Oreochromis niloticus: one gene and its partner. The protein of the gene in region 1 purifies or fractionates together with the protein of each later gene. This does not show direct contact. Links are inferred from orthologs where the notes say so. Each region holds a gene or a part of one and is shown in the gene's direction. Other genes may lie near its edges.

The links.
Region 2: the proteins of cyld (region 1) and spata2 purify together in Homo sapiens (affinity purification with western blotting; 10 studies listed by BioGRID and IntAct, with this or other methods). This does not show direct contact. The link is inferred for Oreochromis niloticus from reciprocal best matches to the Homo sapiens genes CYLD and SPATA2.

The regions. Positions count from the first base shown.
Region 1 is NC_031965.2:31,474,382-31,482,110, reverse strand, and holds the start of cyld (ubiquitin carboxyl-terminal hydrolase CYLD), read left to right. Parts: upstream 1-4,466; 5' UTR 4,467-4,830; intron 4,831-5,940; 5' UTR 5,941-5,991; coding exon 5,992-6,483; intron 6,484-7,729. UniProt on the Homo sapiens protein: Deubiquitinase that specifically cleaves 'Lys-63'- and linear 'Met-1'-linked polyubiquitin chains and is involved in NF-kappa-B activation and TNF-alpha-induced necroptosis.
Region 2 is NC_031984.2:16,328,958-16,336,564, reverse strand, and holds the start of spata2 (spermatogenesis-associated protein 2), read left to right. Parts: upstream 1-4,535; 5' UTR 4,536-4,799; intron 4,800-4,927; exon of another isoform or gene 4,928-5,233; intron 5,234-5,764; 5' UTR 5,765-6,237; coding exon 6,238-6,588; intron 6,589-7,607. Other genes in the region: E3 ubiquitin-protein ligase RNF114, read right to left, coding at 1,215-1,280, 1,384-1,491, 1,616-1,730, 3,023-3,129, 3,346-3,496, 4,101-4,237.

The DNA.
Region 1 (7,729 bases):
GGTTACCGTTATGGAAGAGTTGTAACACCTTCATATCCTTCAGTCAGAAACAACTACACATGTACAGTTACATTGTCTTAAGGGTTACAAAAAAGGTTACATTTGAAGTTTGCAGAGAAGGGCAGAGGCAAATATGTTGTTTTGGAGTGGAAAAAAAAGAAAATCAATTTTCTGTATCAGATCAGATGTATGTTTTTACTATACTGAGCTTAAATGTCTGGGAGATTTACAAAGAGTATTCTTACAGTCCAAACGAGTATTCTCAAAGTCCTTGTTGTGCAAGTTAAAAGTAGAAATTACTGACATTACAAGTTTCAATTTTTGTTTATTAAAACTTATCACAGCAGAAAAGTTTATAGAGCACATTTTGTTGTATGTTTCTTTTCTGGTTGTTTGCTTTAGGAATGAGTTTACAACTCTGTGGAATGTTTGATGGAAATTGGGTGTATTCTGTTTTACACTATATACTATATTTTTGCTGTCTATGTTACCTGTTTTTGTCATGTGTGTAAACTGGTTTCTATTTTCTGTCTTTTAATATAATGCTCATTAAGCAGATGTGTAATTAAAAAAACATCCTATACAAAGAAAATTCCCATTCTGCAGTTAATCCTGATTGAATAAATGCAGCTCAAGTACTTGTGGACTAGTCAATACAAATGCATTTTTTTTTTTAGTTCAAATCAGCAACAATATATATGCATGAAGAGTAGGGCTGCCACAAACGATTATTTTGATAGTCGACTAGTCACCGATTATTTTTGCGATTAGTCGACTAATCAGATCATGCATCCATTGGACGTAAAATGTACACCTGAAAATATGTTAAACGTTTATTTTGTGACCCAGAAAGAATAATAATTGTAATATTAAAACTAACTAGCTGCCGCCATTGTTGACAACTGCGCTGGGCCGCGCTATGAATTCTGGAACACAGTTTCTTCTTCTTCGGGGTTTAACGGCAGCTGGCATCCTTGTACATGCAGTGCTGCCATCTTCTGTTTCAGTCCGTTATTACACTCTTAAATACTACTACTTATTCCTGCGTCTTTTGGGATCTTACAAAGCTTCAAACGACGCGTCGACTATTAAATTAGTCGTCGACGATTTTAATAGTCGACGTAATCGTGACTAGTCGACTAATCGTGGCAGCCCTAATGAAGAGTGATAGGGAGGGAAAAAGGTATAACAGTGAATCTCTACAGCCATCTGTAAACCTTTGCGAAAGCTGTGTTTCAGAGACAGCTGCATTTGAACCAGTGATTTTGGGCATCTTGTCAAAAATGATGAAATTTTGAAAACAGAAAAATACTGTCAGATTTAAAATAATGTATTGCAGTGATCACACGCCAATGATTCCAAGCACATTGCCAGTGCAGTAAAAGCATACCTAGATAGAATAACACAGAATGGAACACCAGTCATGGATTGGCCTTCCCAGAGCCCAGACATCAACACTACTGAAGCATTGAGGGATCATCTTGACACAGAATTGAACAAAAGGCAGCCAACGTCCAAAGAAGAGCTTTAAATGTCCTTCAAGAAGCCTGGAGAATTATTCCAGAAGACTGCTTAAAGAAACTACAAGAAATCTGCCTCAGAGAGTTGAGCTTTTACTAATTGTACAAACAAAAGTAGTCATGCTGTATAGGTTAGTCATTTTCTTTAAAAAATCAATGGGCACAATACTGTGAATAATAATAGTTGAAACTGTTTGAGTAATTCTATATTTTAGAAATATAGCAACAAGTAGAAAGTCCAAAAAGCAATGAATATAAAAAAAAGCCATAACTGGAGCTCGAACTACTGATCTTGCAACTGAGACATGCTTTTCACCCTAAGATGACATGATAAGCAAAATATCTTTAATGGTATGATCTAAGAGTTGTATCTTATTTTGGTTACTGTTTCATGAACATAGTCCCCAGACAGTAGTGCAAACACTTGAAATTGCAGCAGCACATCATTCCCCCTTTGTCTTATAGAAGATGCTGAAAAAAGAAATGTAGATTTAGGTCACATACTGAACAAACTTGATAAGAGAAAGCATATGATAGGGTGCCAAGAGCTGTGGTACTGTATGAGAAAGTCAGCAGTGGCCAAGAAGTATGTATGAGGACAATAAGACACTAATGAGGTGTGCGGTAGATGTGTTTAAGGTTGGGGTGGCAATCAATCAATCAATCAATCAATCAATCAATTTATTCATAAGCACATTTAAAAACAACACAGGTTGAAGTAGAAGTAAGATAGAATTTGTGTGTGAATGAGAGAGAGACGTGTAAATATGAAGATGCTAGGAGCAGAGATACTGAAGATAGATGAGTTTAAATAGCTGGGGTCCACCATTCAAAGAAATGCACAGTGCACAAGAGAAATGGAGAAAAAAGCGTATGCAGGCTGGAGTGGGTGGAGATGAGAGTCGGTGTGAGCGATAGTAGCAAGAATGAAAGGGACGATTTACGAAGTGATAGTGAGACCTGCTATTATGTATGGTTTGGAGATGGTGGCAATAACAAAAAGGCAGAGGGCAGAGCTGAAGATGTTAAGATTTTCATTGGGGGAGAACAGAATGGACAAGATTAGAAATTAGTAGGTCAGAGGGACAGCACAGGGTTGACCAGTTTAGATAAAAAGTTAAAGAGCAAAGGTTTGAACATGTGCAAAGGATGTCAAAGATGGAGCTGTCAAGCAGGAGTAAAAAAAGAAGACTAAGGAGAAGATTCATGGATGTATAGAAGGAGGACATGCAGAGAGTTGTGTGTGACAGAGCAAGATGCAAGGGATAAGGTAAGATGGAGCCAGATGATCCACTGTGAGAACCCCTAAAGCAGGGGTCTGCAACCTTTTACACCCAAAGAGCCACTTGGACCCGGTTTCCACGCAAAAGAAAACACTGGGAGCCGCAAATACTTTTTGACATCTAAAATGAAGATAACACTGTATATATTGTTTTTTACCTTTGTGCTTTGTGTGAACAACTAAGGTGTGTTGCTTATGAAATCCATGAAGTGCTACAGAGAAAATTACATTTTATTTACGTAATTAACACATTTTGAACTCTTAAAGAAATATAACAAAAGGAAAGACACCCAGCTGAACTAAAATGATCCACGTAGCAAACAAAAACTGTTGTCAGCTGCCACCCTTATATCGCCTTTGGGCTGTTGGAGCCTTGACCTGACTCTTAAAAAATAATTGGAAAAAAGCACTATGCTGCTGAAAAATGAAAAATAGATATTTGCAAAATTCTGCCTAAATATGTATTTTACCTGGTTAACGCGTGCGGCGGGGCGTGGTTTGCAGCGCCGCTGCAGGGGAGGCGGACGCACCTGAGCGACACCCGCAATCACGCCTCGCCGCCTTTACGTCTGCGCTATCTGTGCTGTTGTGTTGTTGGTGGTCTATGTCGGGCTGTGAGCTGAAAAGCTACAGCCGGCTGTATGCGTACAGCAACCGTGTGTGAAAAGTGCTCAATAAAGAGGTGCTCAAAAGCGTGTTCATGGAAACATCGTCGGGTCTGCCGTGATATGTTTACAATGGGACTTCTGCTCCTGAACCTCTGTGCACAGAGTCCGCAAATCGGGGATATACGAAGTCAGTTTACTCACGGTGTTTGTCTTTATCATAGTTCACGGTGGAGAACAGCTGCTGACATAATGTGGATCCGAAGATCCATAATTGACCTACCTGGGGTTGAAAGTCTCGATAAATGCACGGCGTTTCGGCGGGTATACCGGCTTCCGCGAGTGTGACTCTTATTTTGAGCGATGAAAAAAATAATAGAATATAATTTTATTTTTATATTTCAAAATCACAACAATCTTCCAATTTAGAACTACGAGTTAAAAAGAACTAACATAAATAAAATACACTTCAGCTAAATACTTCTAATTTATTTTCCCAAACCACGCGGAGCCGCAGTATAAGGACAAAAGAGCCGCATGCGGCTCCGGAGCCGCGGGTTGCCGACCCCTGCCCTAAAGGGTGCAGCCCAAAGAACAAGAAGAAGAAATTTCACTGGACCACTTGGGGAGGCTGTATTGTCTCGGAAAACTTTGACACTTTAAATTTTAGAACATATAACGAACCCGTTTGGTTATACTGAGAAAATTACAAATGATCTCCAGCATTTGAGACTGAGAACCTTCACAGACAGATCTCCAACAATTTTATACTTAAGTACATGTTACTATTAATAATATCAATCTTCTTACTCTTAGGCCATATTTTATTTTATACCCATTCTTTAATTTCATAATTATAGTGTAAAATTGCTTCTATTTGAATAAATATTTCTGAACTGCCTGCAGCTGATGAGCATCATCTGCCTTGGAAGCCGCACTCCAACCTAACTACGCTTTCTGCCGTCCGTGGGAAAACCCCAGAAAGTGGGACTTGGTTATTGACAAAACAAACAGCGAATCAGCGTTTTAGAAAGAAACGACTAACCAATGTCTGTCAGCGAGCACGAGGACGTCATACATTAAGTTTAGTGAGGTCGTCTCCTGTAAATAATATATCTCATAGATGTAGCGATACACTGTATTATTTCACATATTTCTCATGGAGAATAGATGTATTTAAATGTTTTTAGCAAACTTAGGAAGGTGGCAGTCTTCTGCCAGCCTTGTTGCTGTTGACCGGCTCGCTAGGCTAACTTTAGCGTGATACTTAGCTGGTTAGGATTGTAGCATTAGCTGTCCATTTAGCTAATCAGAGGTTATTACGAGAGCAGTCTAACCTGTTTTCAGAAGCATTTGTCTAACTGGAATGGACTTCGAAATGACAGCCATTTGTAGCCACTAACCGAATTCACGCATATCAAAGGTAAGGTGTCCGTGTTGTTGGCACTGGACGTAAATGACTGTCTGGTGCATTTTAGCTCACTGTACGTTAGCCACTTTCCTCTCTTAAAGGGCCTTTGACTGACAGCTTCTGCCCGGCGACACGCTGCTGATGTTGTCAAAGGAAAATGTTGATTAAAGCAAGTCATAGTATCGCTTTGTAGGTGTCACCTGAAAGACCCCGCTAACTCAATGTCACAGCAGGTCAGCGCGTGTCAGTTTGAAATTACTTTCATTTTCAACCTGTGTTGGGCTTTAGCCATGTATGGCGTTAGCCTTAAAAAATCTTGTAAAAATGATCTAACGGTACTCAGGCTGTTAAAAACAACAGCGTATTGATGGAGTAAATGTCGCAGTTCAGCAGCTGCTGTCGTGTTTGAAACAATTGACGGATGTAGAAGTATTGTGTGCTCTTGACTCTGTCGGGTGTTTGAAAAATCATATCTGAGGTGTGATCAGGGGAAATCCACACGACTGGTATCTGTCTTACCCAGAGTGTCAGAATAAGTCAACTGTCTGCTTACTCTCTATTTTTAGAAAATTGAAATAAGTAGCAATGAGTAATGTTACACAAAGTGCTGATTTTTCAAAAAGAAATCACTGGTCTACTGAATGTAGATGAGGGAGAATACACAAGAGCACAACAATCTCTCAGAAGAAACCAAAACAAGCGAACTGGAGCAGAGATTTTCTAAACTCTCAGTGCAGTTAAGACTGTTTTACCAGAGTTTTGCCGTGGTTAATTTCAGTATGGCTCATCACACATCTATTTGCATCTAATTAATGAAACTGTTCCAATGTGTGTTTTTTTGTTTGTTTGTTTTTTGCTCAAGTGTACTTTTAGACAGAATGAGCAGTTGTGCTTGTTAGTTCAGTTCTGATTTGTGCTTTGGAAGGGCTAGAGTAGAAATATTGTTAATGTTATGAATTATATTAATGCTTAACTTATTGTGGTATCAAAGCACATAACCGCAGCTGTCTAACCACATTAATTTACATTGCAGAAATGTAAGCTCATCACTTTCACTTATTAGGTCAAACCTTAAGTGTTCTGGGTGGGGGGTTTTTCCTAATTTTTTTCGTTTCTTCTTAGACCACAGGTCAAGGTTGCCTTGACATTGGAGCTTCTGCCTAGCATGCAGACATGAGCTCTGCCCTGTGGAGCCAGGAGAAGCCCAGTGGGGGCTTCAGGGAGGACTGGCGGTTCTACATGGTTGTGAAGGAGTGTACAGTGGAGAAGCCTCCCCAGAAGACCCTGAGGATTCCCCGTGGCAGTCTCGGCCAGGCCTGTCAGGAGCGCAACAGCCTAGGAAGAACGCTGCCCCCATGCAAGGGAAAGAAAAGTCTCCGTATTCTGGACCAAACCAACGTGGTTTTGAGCCTGGATGAGCGGGACGTCTTGGAGCTGGATGAGAAGCTGGCTGAATTGCTCTTTCCCATTACTAACTGTGAGGAACGGTATGCGCTACTCTGCAACAAGTCACGGCTAGAGCGTGTCCGTGATATTGACTGTGGTTCCAAGGTGCGCGTCCAGCTGCGCTCAGGGGATGAACCTCTACCTGGTGTGGTCCGCTTCAAAGGCTCACTGCTTCCTGATAGAGCGCTGTCTGGAATCTGGTTTGGAGTGGAACTTCTGGTGAGATCTCTTTCAGTTTTATTCTCATTTTTGTAAAAACATGGTATCTATGTAGATTCTTAATTTGATTTTTGATCTGTTCATTAAAAATGAGATGACCACTATAGTTTAAATAAAATTTAAAGGACTGGCAAAATTGTTTAAATGTAAAAAAAATTAACAATTTAAATGAGAACATTTCAAGCTTAAAAAAAGGTTTTATTTCAGCTTCATTCTCGATCTAATTAATATGAGACAAATATTTAAGTAAAATAATCACTAAAACCAGTGTATTACTTTTTAGCATGACCTTAAAAAATCTTGAAAACCAGTTATTATGTCTATGTCTGTGTAAAGAACTGAAAACTAAATAGGAATAACAAAAAAACAGGAACAGTTTCTTGAGTCCTGTTTGAAACCAGGTGATTTTTGCTTGACTCACGCAACTTTTTTTTGACATGATGGCTAACTGGAAACTGCTGCAAATGATTCCAGCAAATAAAACACTTATTCTTCACAATAACTTACTTAATAAGTTACAGAAGTACCACCATTTCCGCTTACATCTCATGGCCCTGATTAGTGAAAGTGCTCAAGCATTTTTTAGTTGTGTTACAAACTGACTATAGATAAGAATGTAGTTTTGTCAGTCTAATTGTGTAAGTGTCATTTATTTGCTATTTTAAGCTCAGTAGTCTTACCTACGTACTGGGAGGGAAAAAGATCCCCAGATCCTCGCCTTACACAAAAGCACTGGTGAATTCTTGAACTGTTGCTATTTTTGGAAATAATGTATAACAAAAATAGCATAGTTAACAATAAAAAAGCTTTTTTGAAGATTTTTTTAAGATGTATTGATGACTGTTGAGGGTACACAGTAGTGCTGCAGAAGCTAAATGAAAAGCTAAATATTCACATTTATATTGCATTTACAGTGATGATGCCACATCTTGACAACTTCTGTTTCAATTCACTTGGTTTAAAAGCGGTGAGATGATGACAGTTTATGTAAATATAACGCTGAAAAATCAAACTGTAAAGCTTCAAAGCTTGCATCTAATGGCTTCGAGTAAAAATGTGGGATTAAATAATGTATATTGCTTGTTTTATTTTCAGATAATTTAGGTTTTATTTAACAAATTTGAAATTCTTAGGTAGTACTTAAACTTCTAAAGGAAGTGGCTATAACTGTTTACCGTTTACTCAAGGCTAAAACAGAGATGCAGTGTTTAAACTGGTATGATTGTAAGAAGATAAGGTCAACATT
Region 2 (7,607 bases), on another chromosome or scaffold:
CTGAAATTGTGGTTATTTTGTTTTAACAATGACAAATACCCCTACCAAAAACCTAAATATTCAAATACCAGTGTTTTTGTATATTAAAACAAAACTAAAAAGTGGAGAACAAAGCACTGGGTAAAGTACATTTATAGAATGAAATCTGTCTTCAATTATGTCCTGCAAGAACCAGCTGTTGTCATGTTGTCACAGAAATGTAGAACTCTACTGCCCTCTTGTGGTTTAGACACATGCAAATAAATTCTCACATGAAAGTGACCAAATTAACCCAAACACACTGACTTTTTTTTTTTTTTTTTTTTTTAAAATACTTGCATCTGTAGATTCACTGAATGAACTACTGTATTAGCCCTATGAGTTCTGGAAGTTTGAAAACAAGATCTACCAGCAGGCACAAAGACATAAGGGAGAAACATCACAAAAAAGCAAAAATGCCATCTCTGGCTGTGTTTGACCCTCATTGTTTATTCTTACCAGTAGATCTGTCAAAACAGAATGAACACACCCAGCCACACTCTAATACACAAACACACGCGCTTCAATCAAAAACAGCACTGAAAAGACAGTTTTTTTCCCCCATCTGCTGAAAAACTGTGGTCAAAAAAGAAAAAAAAAAAAAAAAGAAAAGAAATAAAAGTCCCTTTACCTTTTAACCTTTTGCATAAACATGCGAGTAGAATTAGTATAATATGTTTCTGTTACTTGTAGACTTCACAGAGTGAAGTTTGTTGTCTGCTGGCAATAGGTAGCCACCTAGTGGTTAGACCCTCTCATAACATCAAGTATTGACAATGCAGAATTTTTAAATCACAGGTTCGGATGTTTTGTTGCTAGATGACACTTTGTCATTGATAAACAAACAGCTTAAACATAGTTTAGCAGATACCTAACAAACTATCCAGTCTACAGACTCAGCTGGGGGGAGGGGAAGATAAGTGATTATCACACCAGAAACACAGTATTACTCCTAAATCAAACAGTACAATATGTTTTTTTTTTTGTAACCATATTGCGTGATTTATTTTCAGAATAATAAACCTATATATTCATAGTTACGATACCAGTTCCCTATGAAAAATAATTACCCATAGTAAGTCAGTACCACCATCCCCATTCTAGATGAATGATGACACTGTGTGTTTCTGTCTTTTCAAGACCATCATCCCTTCATTTCACTGGATTCCCTCCACCGGTGAATTGTTTTTCACACTTCAGTGGTCCATAAGGGAGCGCTGTAAAGCCTCCTGAATCATTGTGTGCTCATCTGTGGAATAATCCTGGGAGGTCGTAAGCATGAGAAGTGGAAGAAAAAAAAAGTCACTTAAATTCTTATTAACATAAAAAACAAACAAACAAATAAACAGAGAGTGCTTTACTTACAACAAATGTATCATAGGAGAAAGTGTGTCTGATCTTCAGGTGCTGGAAAAAGTCAGCACTCCTGTAATTAGGATCCCCCCAAGGCATCGAGGCACAGATGGGGCACACCTAAAGAAAACATGAAGGTAATAAAACGATCTTTGAAACACATTATTAACCCAGCTGAAGCCAGTAAGTGTGTGGAAACTCAGTATGACTCAGAATTATGACAGAGTAGACTTTTTTTTTTTACCACTTGGCGTGCATCTCGAGCATGTTGGGAAGTGCAATGTTCAACCAGGCCGTCCTGGTCGAGGTTCTGGCAGTTACAGTAGGGGCAGGTGAAGGTGTAGCGATTTGGCACTGAACTGTGGCAGAAGAGAAACAATAAAATGTCACAAGGTTTGGTTCTCAACTACATGAATATTGCACTTGAAGTGCAACAGGCATCAGCTTATGAAGAAATAATTTACCACAGTTAGTGGCCAATCTTTATCTTTTGTCACATCAACTTTTCACCAGCTGAAAGAGCTTGAGAAAGGCTTAAAAGTGACAGTTATTCTTTTTTCTTTTTTATAACAGGAATCCGTTTCCTGGCACAAACATCTGGAGGGTTAAATAACAAAATAAATAAATACCAGGATCGGTTTCTTACTTTAAACAGTGTTGGCCCAACATGCCACAATGTGTGGATTCTTTGTTTTAAAGGCTGCTGTTTGGGTGGAAAAAAACAAAACAAAAACCCCCCACTAAAGACTACTTCCTGATTAGTCATAATAACCTCATTACAAGCGACGGCTTCTCAAACCATCTTCTCGGAACTTTCTCCAGGAAGTACAGCTGTCATAAATACTTAACATCCAAATATGATAAAAACCAGATCCACTTCATACAACTTGACAATAACAGTGTTTTATGTTTTCTAAAGATAAAAGTTGTACTGTTTTCTATACACTCTGGAAAAATCATGATTGGAAATTACAACAGGTAAAATACAGAATACTTAGCATAAGCTTGATCACACTTTATAATACTATTTTACTTGCAATCAGATTGTGTTTAATTTGAAATCCTATTTGTGCTAAAACTTCCATTTACTTTTTTTAACTTTAAGTGTAAAATGTATACACTACATATAGTTCACATGACAGATTGACCGCAAAAACAGAGCATTTCATTTTTGACTGACATGTTAGGCATGTCAGTGAAACAAGGCAGTAATGGAGCCACGACTTTGGAGTCTTATCAAACAACAATGTACTGCCAAGAGTTTATAATACTATAAACAGGGAATTTTATATCACAAGAAGATATTATTCCATCATTTGTCACAACAGGTCAACTGTTTAAATTTGGCACTTAAGTTACAGTGAAATCTATCATAAATCTATCATTGCATACATTTGATTGGGCCAACAGAACTCCATTTCCTATGTACAGTACTCTCTGCTCTGTGAATGAAGCCCTCTCACTGACTCTACTGACAGGGCTGCACTCATTTCCTTTTTCACTTTGGATTGGTGTTAGTCCAAAGGTGACCTTTAATTTATACAACCCAACAAGCAGCAGTGATTGCACGCAAAGTCTGACTCTACAGTGTAAACCATTTTGCTTTTCTTATGTAGGGAATAGCAAATAATTGTTCTGCTTCTTTCCCCACCTGACGATGGCAGGCTGGCTCTGGGCAGTTGTCCTGACTCCCTCCTCAATGTACTCCTGGTATTTTGAACAGGCAGCTGTGTGGCTTCTCATCTTAGAAAGCCCAACCTAATTGGGGGAGGAGTGACACATATCAGTAACTTCCAGTATATGACCATCATCATAAAATTGTTGCTATTATCTAAATATAAAGACAGAAATTTAGACACAGCAAAATATTAAGATTATGCATGTGCAGTTATTGAATATTCACCCTCTGTGACTGCTTCATAAATGTGAGTCAGTTCAGCAATATTTTAGCTTTTGGACTTTAGTGAAACATACCTGTGTGCCACATCCCTTACAGGCTGCCACAGAAGATTGAATGAGTGCCTCGAGTTGAGCAGCTCTAGTCCAGTGGCCTGGAGCGCCTCGACATACAGCACACACAGGTTTCTGTGGACGCAGACATTCCTGCAAACAACTGTGGCAAAACCTGTCAAGAGATGGGTGAAATAATGTGACTGCTGCACAAGATAAATCAACTAAATTGTCACTTTTAATTTGGGCTCTGGTAACCTGAGGCTTTAAAAAAAAAATTATTAAAAAACAAGACAAAAACATGCAGCAACTCTGTTTACATTAACGCATGGCCTGCAATGAGAAAAAAACCCCAAATGCTGTCACTAAAACAAACCTTTATTATGCTAGTGACTGGACCTTCCTGTAACTCATATGGAAAGTCCCCCACCTCGAGAATAGCCAGGGACTTGTAGTTCTTTAAAGTGGTTTGAAGAGTTAGAGCAATACACATCCAAACTACAACTCCCAAGTGAGGCCTCCTTTTTGATGTAAACAAAACTGAAACTGATTTAGCAAGCTGGAACTGTTTTTGTCACATATTCGAGAGAGAAAAATAGAAAAAACGGGGTCGTAGCACTAGAAGACACTCGCGAGGCCGATATTTTGCAACTCTGGTGCGACGACATATTTAAAGTGAAGCCCTTTCCTCCATTGTTTTTGCCTCTTTTCACTGCATCGTTGGTGGCAGACGAGGGTTAGGGGGAGGGCGATGGAAAATAAACGGCAAAAATACTCACGTATGTCCACACTGTGTTGTCACGGGACTGTCGAATATTTCGAGGCAAACTGGACAGACGAATTCGGACACGTCGTTGCTCCCGTCCGAGGCGTTCTTCTTGTGAGGTGCTGCGCTAAAGCCTCCGAGCATCGCCATTTCTTTTCTTCACTGAGTCGGTTCCACCACCAGCACCAACCGTCCCCGTGACGACGTCATCGGGTTCTTGTTCTTTTTTAAGCGCGAGGGGGCGGGGTCACCGGCGAAAGTAAACATCGTAACACATAATTGTACGACATACTTACTAAATCTGTGACACCCCCCCCTCCCACTAGATATCGAAACCCCCCAGAGACATTCAAAATATTACAATATATAGTTATTCAAATAAATCTGAATTATTCGGGCACTAATACAACGAAAAAGCAGGAAATCCACACCACTAAATGTATACCTTCGGCAAATCATTATGAACCCGGGAAATCTGTCTCTGCGCGCACGCGAGCCTATATGTATATATATATTTTTTTACCCATGCAAAACAAAAACAAAAATGAATGAAGACTGGGGATGATGTATTTGGGGGTCTGTATCCCGTCTTCCCTAGCACGTGGGCTCCTGATGCTGATGAACTGTCAGGATTGAGCGCATGCGTGTTGTTATACTGGGAATTTCCAACAGCTGAGGAGGCGTAGCTAGCCATGACTAGCACTTGTTAAAGGTAAGATTTGCGAATGCTGTTATTTTTGTTTGAACAAACGTCTTGATCTCCTAGTGGGAGCCCATTAACATTTGATCCCAAAAGAACATCACCTTAAAAATTCGCTGTGTCTTGTTATTTTATTTTAAACTGGCGAATAATGTCTGTGTAGCGATGGAACGCCCTGCTAACCAAAAGCAATTGTTAGCTAGCCAGCTACGCTGAAATGGGCGTTCACTGTTTAGCTTCTACTCAGTAGGGAGGCCATAGCAGTGGCAGCATCGGGTTTGAGAGTCATGAAGAATTAATGTATACGTTCTAGGAGTATTACTTTATATTGCCATTGGTCACGGTGGACTAAATTTGTTGTAGTAGATACGCAGTTGTAAAGCATGCGTCTGGCTAAGGCTCATTGGTTGCTAGCTCGTTGAGCGGATGTTCGCAGAGATTTTCAGGTAACAGGTATAGCCAGCCAGCCAGCTTGCAAGAATCTGAGAGCGAAATGTTTGCTCTCCTGTTGTTCAAGCCTCGTACTATTTTCACGATGTGTTTATGAGTTTTGAGTTGAAGCTAAGCTAGGCTAGGTTAGCGCCACTCTGGTTTACACGCATGTAGTACCAATAGCTGAAACGTTCACTGGCGCAAACGTGTGAGAGGGATGTATACATCAGTAATGAGTTCCTCTCTTGCTTATTTAAGCTATAATTCCACTGGCCTTTTTCTTGGTTATGTACATTGTAAAACAAACAATTTTTTAAAAAAAAAAGCCCTTTCACTATGTGATAGACAAAAAACCCACCCACCCAAACGAATCCATCTTCACATCTCTGAGTACAGAGATGGTCCTGGATTAGTGTATCTTCCCTCTTATCTGAACCTCTAGATATTTCAAAACATGCTTAACCACAGTTAAATTGCATTTTCATTTAGCTAGAAACCGAAAATGATATTTTTTATCTTAACAGCTATTGCTTGTGTCATTTCAGCTTGGACATGGCTGATAACAACCCCAAGATCATGAATCTGTCTTCTTGATGAGTGACCTTGAACTCTACCAATGCTAAAACCAAGCAATGGAATAGATGCAAGTCTGTGTGCCAAGGAAAACCTCCCCCCTGACGTTATCTTGCATGACAGAGGCCTGTTTTTCTGGAAACAAGTCAGGCTTTGAGCCAAAGCCAGAGATGCTCATACCAAGGCATCCTTATGGGCTACAGCCTTGCTACACCAACTGAAAGCACTAGAAAACTGCATCTCTTGCTTAGAGGATGTGCTACTGAGTGGATGCAAAGATTGACTCCTCTGTCATCTCTCCACGACATTAACATTTAGTGTATACGGTTTAAAGAATGGTAACCAAAAATGGTGTCTGAATGTGGCATTTTGTGGTTGGGCATGCTAAAAGGTGTGAGGCTCTCTCAGAAAATTATAACAGCTGACTAATAGTCTGCTGCTAATAATGGATGCCAAGTTAAAAGAGGACCTGTTCCGGAGGTATGTGACAGCACTGGAGAAGCGCCTGGAGGAAGGAGGGGATAACAGGGGGACTGGAAGTACGCAAGAAGGGGAAAGAAGCAGACACAAGGACAGTGAGGCCCTACTTTCCACAGCCACAGCTCTGCTAGGAGCCTATCAGCCAGATCCGGCACAGCGATTTCGCATGGTGCGTTTCTATGAGGTAGTGGAGAACTCCCTCCGCTCCCAGAGAGGAGTCAACCTGAAGGGCCTCGAGAGAGCCTTCCATACCCTGGAAACCATCTGCACCAACCTCCTGCTCTTCCCTTGGAAGAAGGAATTCAGATGTATAAAGGTGAGTTTATTTCATTGATGGGATATTTAATATATTTTGCTTAGATTAGTTTACTCTAATAGCCAAAATTTCACTATTAATACATTTGTTATATCAGAATTAATCATTATTGTCCAGTCCTGAGCTTTGAGATACTGAGCTTTGGCAATTGATCAGGGCAGTGTGTGTGTACACCGAAATACTTTTGTGAATTTGCATATCTTTCAGACTGTCTTTTGCAGGCAATATATATGAATATCTTTCCTGACCTTTAGTGTGGAAGCAAGACTTTTACGTTTGTGTACACATTCTCAGTCTTTATGCAGATATCAGATATCTGCATAATCTTAAGAGATTATTTTAACTTAATTACTTGTTGTCTAATCTTAATACCATAAAGTGGGTATACAAACAAAAGTTTGATCTCCCCTGTCTCATAAACTGCTTGACATGTTTTTTAGTAAATTAATATCTAAAAGTAAGAAAATTTTTCTGAAACTATTAAAATTTGTATAGACTTGTAATTTTAGTGAACACGCGTGCAAAGAGGACCTTGTTATTATGGTTGCTTCTGCTCAGTTCTGCTTGGTGAATAAGTGAGAAATTAAAAGGAAAGCTGTAACTCTTGACACTTCAGTGTTCCACTGCCTCTGTTTTGCTTTGGGGATTTATGTTGCTGGCATTCTTTGGCTCTCCTTGTCTTCTTAGAGGGAAAGCACCGCAAATCAATACGAAGTTGTTTGGTGTGAAACATTTCTAACCTAATAGGAGAGGGAAATGTCCTTGCACACAGAGCCGAAACCGTTATGAATTATCTTATGGCGTTCACCCTCACAAGATATCAAGTTAACTGAATGTCTATGGGAAATTTCTGTACATGTTAGACAGCCTTCTGCCATCATTATCAACCCCCCAAAAGAGGACCAAAAATAGTTGTCCCCACTTCTGGTTTTCTAAAACACTTTTTTTTTTTTTCGCTTGACTCTATCAGCCAATTTTATCTAGAACTATATTTAAAATAAGTATTTGATATTAGAAAG